Saccharomyces cerevisiae S288C: one gene and its partners. The gene in region 2 interacts genetically with the main gene of each other region. Each region holds a gene or a part of one and is shown on either strand. Other genes may lie near its edges.

What was found.
Region 1: mutations in STU1 (region 2) and XRN1 are lethal when combined (synthetic lethality), as found in Saccharomyces cerevisiae (4 studies listed by BioGRID, with this or other methods).
Region 3: mutations in STU1 (region 2) and MAD1 together harm fitness more than expected from each alone (negative genetic interaction), as found in Saccharomyces cerevisiae (5 studies listed by BioGRID, with this or other methods).

Annotation. Positions count from the first base shown.
Region 1 is NC_001139.9:178,372-181,971, forward strand, and holds the start of XRN1 (chromatin-binding exonuclease XRN1), read right to left. Parts: upstream 1,743-3,600; coding exon 1-1,742. Other genes in the region: FG-nucleoporin NUP49, read left to right, coding at 2,329-3,600. UniProt on the Saccharomyces cerevisiae protein: Multifunctional protein that exhibits several independent functions at different levels of the cellular processes. 5'-3' exonuclease component of the nonsense-mediated mRNA decay (NMD) which is a highly conserved mRNA degradation pathway, an RNA surveillance system whose role is to identify and rid cells of mRNA with premature termination codons and thus prevents accumulation of potentially harmful truncated proteins.
Region 2 is NC_001134.8:156,699-160,535, reverse strand, and holds the start of STU1 (Stu1p), read left to right. Parts: upstream 1-2,146; coding exon 2,147-3,837. Other genes in the region: HEK2 (Hek2p), read right to left, coding at 1-352; RIB1 (GTP cyclohydrolase II), read left to right, coding at 843-1,880.
Region 3 is NC_001139.9:344,991-348,827, reverse strand, and holds the start of MAD1 (coiled-coil domain-containing protein MAD1), read right to left. Parts: upstream 1,710-3,837; coding exon 1-1,709. Other genes in the region: E2 ubiquitin-conjugating protein MMS2, read left to right, coding at 1,924-1,934, 2,020-2,422; YGL088W (uncharacterized protein), read right to left, coding at 2,627-2,992; MF(ALPHA)2 (Mf(Alpha)2p), read left to right, coding at 3,675-3,837. UniProt on the Saccharomyces cerevisiae protein: Central component of the spindle assembly checkpoint. Thought to recruit MAD2 to unattached kinetochores. During checkpoint activity, MAD2 is relayed from the MAD1-MAD2 complex to the mitotic checkpoint complex (MCC).

The DNA of each region.
Region 1 (3,600 bases), on a different chromosome or scaffold from region 2:
TCAAATTCAATGTCTTGATCTAAACCCTTGGCTAAGTCGGAGATTCTTGGTGCATAATGGTGCGGATAGTACCACGACCAAGATGGACATCCTCTATAATAATAATATAGAACCCATTGTAAACCTTCAACGTAGTCTTTAGCAAGATCTCTCACTTTTTCTTCACTGTCTGTCGTAAATTTTAACTTGTCGTGATAATACTCATGCTTCCAACGTTCAAACCTTTCATTATAAATCGTTTTTTCAGTTTCCAATTCTTCTTTGTCCTCCACGATGATAGCATTTTGATATTTTTTTATTGTTTTCCTGATAGAATTAACACGATTTTGAAATTCTTCTTCTGTTTCATCAGGATTAATAGAATCAAGATCCATTTTTAGCGAATAACTACCTTTGGATTTGGAATGCGTTATAAAAAGACCCAAATCAAAAGCGAATTCTTTTAAAAATTCTAAATGATCTTTCATGTCTAAGTCCTTAGGTAACTCTAAAGTTGGAATTTCTTCATCTGGTAAATCAGGCGATAATTTTTCCTGTAATTGCTCCATCAACCATGGTTTTATACTTCCAATTAATTTCTTCTGTTGTTTTACCAGTAATTTTTTACCAACCCTCTGTCTTTTCCTTTCACCCTCCAAAGAAATATTCTCTAATTGCTTGTTGAACCACTCAACGTCTATATCATCCTTTTCGAAATTTAATAACTCAAATTGAGACAGATAATTTAACCAGACACCTAATCTCTTTAAATTTATTTTACCATGTTCATTAATGTAGCCATCAGTATGTAAAAGAGCTTCTTTGAACGTTTGTAACAAAACGGGAAATGCTCCTTTGTTAAGGTGCAAATCTGGCAAATTGGGCAAGAAATCATTACCAATGACGAACATGACAAGAATAAAATCATCCAAAATACGTTCAAAATTGTATTCAAATTGCATTTCATCGGCAATTTCTTTGAATTCCAACTCCATGTATTCTCTTAATAAAGAAAGATGTAATAAGTAGAAATTTTGATGTTCAAGCGATTTTTTTTCACTATTTCTTCTACCAAATGTCACTTCTTCTCTCAATAACGCAAAATGTGGCCCATGAGTAGACAAACCCAGCATAATCAAATCTGCGTCAAGACCGTAAATACAATGTCTCGTATTCTGGTTGAAATCCTTTTGGGATTTTAAATGCCTTATAAAGTTCATGATCTTGTGTTCACCTTCACCTGGAACTTCATGGCCAGAAAATATGATTTGCACTTCCCTCCATTTGGAATCGTTAGAAATCTTGTCGTGAATAAAATATTGTAAGTTTTTGGTCAATTTGGCCATAAACTCCGTACCTGGAGTAATAGAATTCGAATCAAATGGCTCACCCTTAGGAATCTCGTCACCATTCTCAATAGCCTTCTTCAAGGCTTTTTCTGCATCCATAGCGGTTCTGAATCTACGAGCTCTTTGTTGATTCATCTTGGCACGAGGGGCCACACCATCAATAGCCATGTAGAAAATCTTCTTGGGCTTGATTGTTTGAAAAAGGTGATCGATATACGTACAGATTTTTGCAAAAACCTCTTCTTCAGTTAATCGCTTGGTTACATCATCGTCGTTACCATGCGTACAATTATGTAAAATCGAATTCATATCCAGGTATAAGTTATCAAACTCAGGAATCTGTGTTCCCTCAATAAGCTGTAAAATCATGGGCCATCTTTCTGAGATGTACCTGAAAAATTTTGGAATACCCATACCGTACTGATATATATTTGTTGCTGCTGTTGTTACAAGTGTTGATTTTTTTTCTCCTTATAGTACACGAATCGTCCTAGGATTAGTCAATTGCTTATTGTGAACCCGATTATAAGTACGGAAGAAGACAGTATCCTTTAGAAAATAAACTATTAACAGGAACGGAAATAAAAGGCAGAGAGAAAATAATAAAAGAATCGGTTCGCTTGTGCGAACGCCAAACAGATTTTATAATAACGGAAGAGCTGCTGAAAAAAAAAGCAAGCTGCAACTGTTATATTTGCGTAGATAAACTTTACAACCGGTAATTGGAAGTCGTAAGTACTTAGTTTGACGTTTTCAGTACTCGTTAAACTACTCCTTAAATTGCTTTCTAACCTCTTCTTGTTTGTCTCTGTTGTTACTTGCTCTGCGGTGGCGAAAAGACGAGCAAAGGAGGTTGTATATATCACTCAACACGGAATGTATTACAGCTTTCTCAAATAAATGTAGTTGAAAAAGACCATTAATCGTGAGAATAGTTACTGATCAGGTGATGAGACGATAAAAACAGTAATTGAGAGGGTTTTCACGGGTAGTGGGCACAATGTTTGGATTAAATAAAGCATCTTCGACACCTGCAGGTGGGCTCTTTGGTCAGGCCAGCGGAGCTAGCACTGGAAACGCGAATACTGGGTTTTCGTTTGGTGGGACTCAAACTGGACAAAACACCGGCCCAAGTACAGGTGGACTATTTGGCGCTAAACCAGCCGGATCTACAGGAGGATTAGGTGCATCATTTGGTCAGCAGCAACAACAATCTCAGACAAATGCATTTGGAGGAAGCGCCACCACCGGAGGGGGCCTTTTCGGTAACAAACCTAACAATACGGCGAACACTGGGGGCGGGTTATTTGGCGCTAATTCGAACAGTAATTCTGGCAGTTTGTTTGGTTCCAACAATGCACAGACGAGTCGTGGTTTGTTTGGTAATAATAACACTAATAATATCAATAATAGTAGTAGTGGCATGAATAATGCAAGCGCTGGACTATTTGGCTCTAAACCTGCAGGAGGCACTTCTTTGTTCGGTAATACAAGCACCTCTTCGGCCCCTGCGCAGAACCAGGGCATGTTTGGTGCAAAACCAGCTGGTACATCTCTATTCGGCAATAATGCAGGTAATACGACCACTGGTGGAGGGTTATTTGGCTCCAAACCGACAGGAGCAACGTCTTTGTTTGGTTCATCAAATAACAACAACAATAACAATAATAGTAACAACATCATGAGTGCGTCAGGCGGGCTATTTGGTAATCAGCAGCAGCAACTGCAGCAACAACCACAAATGCAGTGCGCATTGCAAAATCTATCTCAGCTCCCTATTACCCCAATGACACGGATTTCCGAATTACCACCTCAAATACGTCAAGAAATTGAACAACTAGATCAATATATTCAAAAACAAGTGCAGATCTCGCACCATTTGAAGGCCGATACAATCGATCATGATGAATTGATAGATTCCATTCCTCGTGATGTTGCATACCTACTGAAGTCAGAATCTGCAACAAGTCAATATTTAAAGCAAGATTTGAAGAAAATATCCTCATTTAAATCGCTAATCGATGAGGACCTTCTAGACACGCAAACTTTTTCGGTGCTCTTACAGCAACTATTAACTCCGGGAAGCAAAATTTCTTCTAATGACTTAGACAAATTCTTTCAAAAGAAAATTCATCTCTACGAGAAGAAGTTAGAGGATTACTGCCGTATTCTCTCTGATATAGAAACTGCGGTAAATGGCATTGATACAGATTTATTTGGCGCCCCAAATAACCCTAATTCTACAGCTATCACAGCAGATCTAGGTTCATCC
Region 2 (3,837 bases):
TTTCGGGATTCCGTTTGTTAAGCACGTCAACAATATCACCAATGGCATTGGCCACATTGATTACGTTCCCAGCACAGGACAGGATCCTGTCAGAGCAACCGGGCACCTTTTCAGAAATACCGATCTTGACGGCGTTTGCAGCTCTTATGCGTGAGATGGTGGAGCCCTTAGTGCCAATGATCTTGGCAGCCTCTTTCAATGACAGCAAAAGCCTGTGATTGATGGTGGGTTGAGCGGTGGTGCCAACAACGGGGGCGCCGCCAGTGGCGGCGCTGCCGGCATCACTGGAGCCGCCGTTGGTATTGTTTGTGGGAATTGCAACGGGAGTAGCAGCTTCGAAGAACTGTGACATGGCTGGTATATATACTAATGCTGTCTCTAAGTTACCCGATAAGTTGATGCTTTGTTGTACAGGGGACGCGCGATAGGAGTGGGGAGCAATATGCTTTTACTTCGTATGCCAAGTAGTTATATATGCTCGGGTACTTATGCTCCAGATTATAGTCTTGTTTGTTGTTTGGCTGAGCGGCCGGACACACAGAAAAAAAACAAAAGGGCTTTCGTTAAAAGGGATAGGGTAATGTCTAGACTTAGCATAGGGCTAAAACAGAAATAGTAGGGTCTATACCGTTTTTGAAAACAAGTTGTGTAGGGTGAGACTTTTTCTTTTTCCTTTGAGTTTTTCTTTTTCTTTTTACGATTTGTCAGAAATTAGTCGGACGCTCTTGTGGGGTGAGCGCCAGCGCCGCTATAGTATATATAAAGAAGTTGCTGTGCTGGCGTGGACAATAATTGAGTCATTACAAAAAGTGGCGTACATAAAACTACAACAAACCTACAGGATGACCATAGATAACTACGACAACAGTAAACAGGATAGCAGCAAATACGAGGTTAGTGGTACGGGTGATGGCAGGAACGGCGATGGCGGCTTGCCTCTAGTACAATGTGTCGCAAGAGCTCGTATCCCAACCACACAGGGTCCGGATATCTTTTTACATCTTTACAGTAACAACAGGGACAACAAGGAACATCTAGCCATTGTGTTTGGTGAAGACATACGGTCGCGCTCGCTATTCCGTAGAAGACAGTGCGAGACGCAACAAGATAGAATGATCAGGGGCGCTTATATTGGCAAACTGTATCCCGGCAGAACTGTGGCAGACGAAGACGATAGACTCGGATTAGCTCTGGAGTTTGATGATAGTACAGGTGAGTTATTAGCTTCCAAAGCCACTACATGGGACGCCCATAACGACACGCTGGTACGGATCCATTCTGAATGTTACACCGGTGAAAACGCATGGAGCGCCCGTTGTGATTGTGGTGAACAATTCGATAGGGCCGGTAGGCTTATCGCTTGCGACCACGAACCCACAAGCAACATCAAAGGTGGAAACGGCCATGGTGTTATCGTGTATCTAAGACAAGAGGGTCGTGGCATCGGGTTAGGTGAGAAACTCAAGGCCTACAACCTGCAAGACTTAGGTGCTGACACAGTGCAGGCCAACTTAATGCTGAAACATCCCGTGGATGCTAGGGACTTCTCGCTGGGTAAGGCTATTTTGCTGGATCTTGGCATCGGTAATGTCAGGCTGCTGACAAATAACCCGGAAAAGATAAAACAGGTAGATCATGCGCCTTACCTTAAGTGCGTTGAACGAGTGCCTATGGTACCCATACACTGGACAAACTCCAGTGAAGGCATAGACTCCAAGGAGATAGAAGGTTATCTCAGGACCAAGATAGAAAGAATGGGTCATTTACTAACGGAGCCTCTGAAACTTCATACAAACCCTCAACCTACTGAGACAAGTGAAGCCCAAAACCAAAACCGTATGAACTCTGCGTTGTCATCAACATCGACGCTGGCAATATAAACACAAGTGTAGCATAATTATTAGTACATATAGTGCTTTTTTTGTAATGAAACGAAAATACCATGTTATTTTAATGCGTTACCCCGTCGGCGCGTATTGGCGCATTAACATCTTTATAGAAAATCAAATTATTTACTTATTTATTCTAAAACGCTAAACATCTATTTATTTACATTTGAGGTTGAAACTTCCCTTCATCCGATTGACAGGCATATTTAGCGGTAATTATTAGGGTTTTTGGAGAGACCTTGTATTCTTCAGAAATAATGTCGTCCTTCAACAATGAGACCAATAATAACAGCAACACTAATACACATCCAGACGATTCCTTCCCTTTGTATACCGTATTCAAGGACGAGTCTGTACCCATCGAGGAAAAAATGGCACTGCTTACACGGTTCAAAGGACATGTAAAAAAGGAACTAGTTAACGAATCGTCGATCCAAGCTTATTTCGCTGCGTTACTGTTCATCTCCGGCCATTACGCTTACCGTTCGTACCCGCGGTTAATCTTCCTATCACATTCCTCGCTTTGTTACCTTATCAAACGTGTGGCCATGCAGTCTCCAGTACAATTCAATGACACTCTAGTTGAGCAATTACTAAACCACTTAATTTTCGAGTTGCCTAATGAGAAGAAATTTTGGCTGGCTTCCATTAAAGCCATTGAAGCCATTTATTTGGTTAATCCATCGAAGATCCAAGCTATTCTAGCAAATTTCTTGCGAAGACCAAGTGAAAACCAAAACGGAGATTACCTGAATAGGATAAAATCTACATTATTGACCATCGATGAGTTGATCCAGATCAACGAGAAAAATAATTCAAATCATTTGCAACTACTGAGGTTTTTCATGCTGTCTTTCACCAACCTTTTAAATAACAACCTAAATGAACACGCAAACGATGATAACAATAATGTAATAATAGAGCTTATTTTCGATATAATGTACAAGTATTTGAAAATGGATGACGAAAATTCACAGGATCTGATAGATGGATTTATTAACGATTTAGAAGTTGAGAAATTCAAGCAAAAATTCATAAGTTTAGCAAAGTCACAGGACCAGCATGGTTCACAAGAAGATAAATCGACCTTGTTTGACGAAGAGTACGAGTTTCAATTACTATTAGCCGAAGCGAAATTGCCGCAGTTATCAAACAACTTGAGCAGTAAAGACCCAGCGATGAAAAAAAACTATGAGTCTTTGAACCAATTACAACAAGACTTGGAGAATTTGTTGGCACCGTTCCAAAGTGTAAAGGAAACAGAACAAAATTGGAAGCTAAGGCAATCAAATATAATTGAATTAGACAACATTATATCCGGCAACATTCCCAAAGATAATCCAGAGGAATTTGTCACTGTAATAAAGGAGGTGCAGTTGATTGAGTTGATTTCAAGAGCTACCTCGTCGTTGAGGACAACGTTATCATTAACTGCATTACTTTTCCTCAAGAGGCTAATCCATATCCTAAACGATCAGTTGCCCCTATCAATATTGGACCAAATATTTGTCATTTTCAAGAACTTGTTATCATCTACCAAGAAAATCTCTTCACAAACTGCATTTCATTGTTTAATTACTTTGATCATTGATATAAATCATTTCCATAATAAACTATTCCAATTATCTTTTTTATTAATAAATGAGAAAACCGTAACACCGAGATTTTGCTCTGCAATACTGCTGCGTAGCTTCCTGATTAAGTTCAACGACTCCAATCTTTCGCTCAACAATTCAAATACAACTTCGCCAACCTCAAAGTTGGAGAATAACATCATATACATCGAAGAATGGCTAAAAAAGGGCATTTCAGATTCACAGACAACCGTTAGAGAGGCAATGAGGTTAACTTTTTGGTATTTCTACAAATGTTATCCTACAAATGCCAAAAGATTATTGAGTTCTTCCTTTTCTCCACAGTTGAAAAAAGCAACAGAATTGGCAATCCC
Region 3 (3,837 bases), on a different chromosome or scaffold from region 2:
TCTAATTTTTCTTGTAGTAGCTGAATTGTAGTTTGTGCTTTACTCAACTCCCTCGAGACACTTACATTTTCCAGTTGCAATTCGTTGAGCCTCTGTGAATAATTTAAACCAATTTGGTCACTTGTCAACTTCCTCTTTTTTCTTTGTGTTTCTACATCATTGGAATTTGATAATAACTGATCGTTTAGCTTCTTTAGTTCGTTTGTTAAATCTTCTGTCTTATTTTTATAAGTATCGATCAAATTATTCATATCTTCGTTTACGTTCTTGTTTGACGCATGTGTTTCACTATTTTCGACCTCTAGTAAAGCATTATTTTGTGCGGAATATAGGCCATCTAATTGTTCGCGCAGTAATCGACATTCTTCGAAAGATAAACTCTTCTGTTGTTCTAACTCGTGATTTAATCTTTTCAAATTTACTATGTTGTTTTCATAATTCTTGTTCAAATCTAGTATTTGGTTTCTCTCTAAAGCCATTTCATCATTCAGTAGCTTTAAATTGTTATTGTCCAATCTTAACTTATCATTCATATCTGTCAAAATTAAACATTCCTTTTTGGTAAGTTTCCAGTCCCGGATAATCTCTTCAGGGTTATTTCTTATGTTATTTTTGGTTCTGTTGTTATTATTAATATTGTTGTTATTACTTGTATCATTATTATTATCATTATTATTATCATTTTTATTATTATTATTATTATCATTGTTGTTAACATTGTTATCATCATCATCGTCACTATCATTATAAATTTCCCATTTGGTTAATTTCGATTTTAGATCTATGTTTTCCAATTGAAGATTTTCATATTGACTTTCGAGTACGTGTAATTGACTTAATTTGTTTTGTAGTTTTTCATTTTCTAATTTCCAAAAAGTAGAAGTGTCCTGGGATTGTTTAAGTTTTTTCAATTCATTGGCTTGTTGCATGTTCGCTAGTTCCAATTCTTTAGTATACTGAACTTGGTCTTGGATCATTTTGTTCATTTCAGTGAGCTCGTTGAACTCTTCGGTGGAGTAGTTTGGATGTGAGTTTATCATCTTAGATGCTTTTACCGAAGATAATTCATCATCCTTTTCCATCACTTGATGCTGCAAATCTTTGATATCCACACTTTGCCTCTTTATTTCTTTCTCATATTTCATCAGTAGCGAATGAGAGCTCTCTGCTTCCAACTTGAAATGGTCACATTGGTTAGTGACCTTTGATAACTTCGAATCATACTGCTGCCTTAAAGTCTCCATTTCTAAATCTTTGTTTTGGAGGGTTGTTCGCAATTCCTCTATGCATTTGTCTTTATCATTCATCGAATTAGCTGATCTTTCTTTCAAACTCTTTAACTCTTGCTCCAATTTATCATTGCTTTCATAAAGATATTTTGTATCATTCAATGCTTTCTCTAATTCGTCAATCGTGGCCTTATATTTCTTTTCTAAGATATTCGTCTGTTTTTGTAGCTGCAATTTTTCAATCTCATACTCATTTTGTAGAGTATTGAGCTTGAATTGTAACGCCTGAATCTGACGATTACTTTGTCCATTTGTACTGCCTACGTCGGGCGAACCTCCAGGGCTTTCCAAGAAAGGAGAGGACCCACCACTATTGCTCATTTTGTACTGGATAGAATAGATCTCTAGTCCCAATTTTTTTCCAGTGAATCGTCCACTCAATGCACTGAAGAAACATTGCAATGCCGCTCTCACATCCATTATTTACTATTACCTCTCGATTTTAAGATGGAAAAAATTGTTAGGAATTATTCCTAGGGTAACACGCTATCAATTTTCATTGCTCCTTTAGCGATAAATAAGAGACTAAAATAAGATCAACTTCCTACACAATCTCTGCTCATTACATTTCGATGTCGTGGTGAAATTCTTATTCTGTATATGCAACGTAGAAGAAAGCAGCGTTTACACAAAAATGTCAAAAGTGTATGTTATTATAAGTTTTGAAAGGGATTTCAACATATACTAACAAATTCTTGAAATGTACCCTCACTGTCCTATTGTAAATCAGACCAAGAAATTTTAGGTTGTTAGAAGAATTAGAAAAGGGTGAAAAAGGGTTTGGTCCAGAATCATGTAGTTATGGTTTAGCTGATAGCGACGATATTACCATGACCAAATGGAACGGCACTATTTTAGGGCCCCCTCATAGTAATCATGAAAACAGAATCTATTCCCTTTCTATAGATTGTGGCCCAAACTATCCAGATTCTCCCCCAAAGGTCACTTTCATTTCCAAGATAAATCTACCATGCGTCAATCCAACTACGGGGGAGGTCCAAACTGACTTCCACACCTTACGTGACTGGAAAAGAGCCTACACCATGGAAACTTTATTACTTGATCTTAGAAAGGAAATGGCAACCCCAGCGAACAAGAAATTGCGTCAACCGAAGGAAGGAGAAACCTTTTAGTTATCTACTTTTTCCTAAACAGTATTTGCAGCATTCCAAGCCACTCATATATACAAGCAATAAGACATAGATATCCTCTTATTTAGGTAGTAAGTTTAATTACTTTCATAATATGAATTTACTCACCCCATGCCGAGAAGTTACTCGTGCAATTCACTACGATAATGATGTATATAGTTGTATTATCAATCCTTGCAACGGTCCTCATCCGGGCACACGAAGGTAAACCCTTAGATCTGCTAAAAAACAGACGACAGAAAGACTGTTGCACCCAAGATCGATAAATTTGTTCTCCAGTCCAAGCCAATAATAAATATATTGCAACACCAATCCACATTCTTCATGGGTCAAGAACGCCCCGGAGGGGTTCAACCTCGACGAGATACTGTACGTGTTACGAATGGCTGTTAAATTTGCGTTACTGTTATAAAATAACACTAAAATAAGAAATGGAAAGTAAATAAATAGTAAAGGAAAGTCAAATAAAGCAATGAATGCTGCATTGATCTGCCTTTTATAGCTAAGAAAAAAAAAGAGAAAAAAATAATAAGTGCGGGTAACCTCATGCATTGTAAAACGGTAGGGCTACAAGGCACTACTTACTCTACGCTATAGAAGAAGCTTCAAGACATGGTGTTGTTCTTATTTGAGCGAACTCAGCTGTCACCGTTTCGGGAAACTCTATAGTTTTCTGCGTTTCAGTACGCAGTTGGGCGTGCTAAAGTTGTTTTCCTAATTTGCTAGTGTTCACTTGCTCATTGATGTCCCTAAAAGGTAATGTCGCATAGTAAGATGTATGTCCCATATCAAACGCATTCCTAGAAAAACATGCACTGAATGAATAAGCAGTTACTTCGATTACTAATCTTCACAGCATAATTTTTCTCTTATCTTGTAAACCTCTTTCTATCTTTTCATAAAGTTTGTCACTTATATTTCTTCATTGGTACATCAATGCCAGCAACGATGTGCGCATCTGGGCGACGCCTGTAGTGATTGTTTTCAAGGTATCGAGCCAAACTATTCATCGTTACTGTTTCAAATATTCAGTTGTTTCAGTACAGAGTCGCCGTGGACCTAGTGAAACTTGGTGTCTTTACAGCGCAGAGACGAGGGCTTATATGTATAAAAGCTGTCCTTGATTCTGGTGTAGTTTGAGGTGTCCTTCCTATATCTGTTTTTATATTCTATATAATGGATAATTACTACCATCACCTGCATCAAATTCCAGTAAATTCACATATTGGAGAAAATGAAATTCATTTCTACCTTTCTCACTTTTATTTTAGCGGCCGTTTCTGTCACTGCTAGTTCCGATGAAGATATCGCTCAGGTGCCAGCCGAGGCCATTATTGGATACTTGGATTTCGGAGGTGATCATGACATAGCTTTTTTACCATTCAGTAACGCTACCG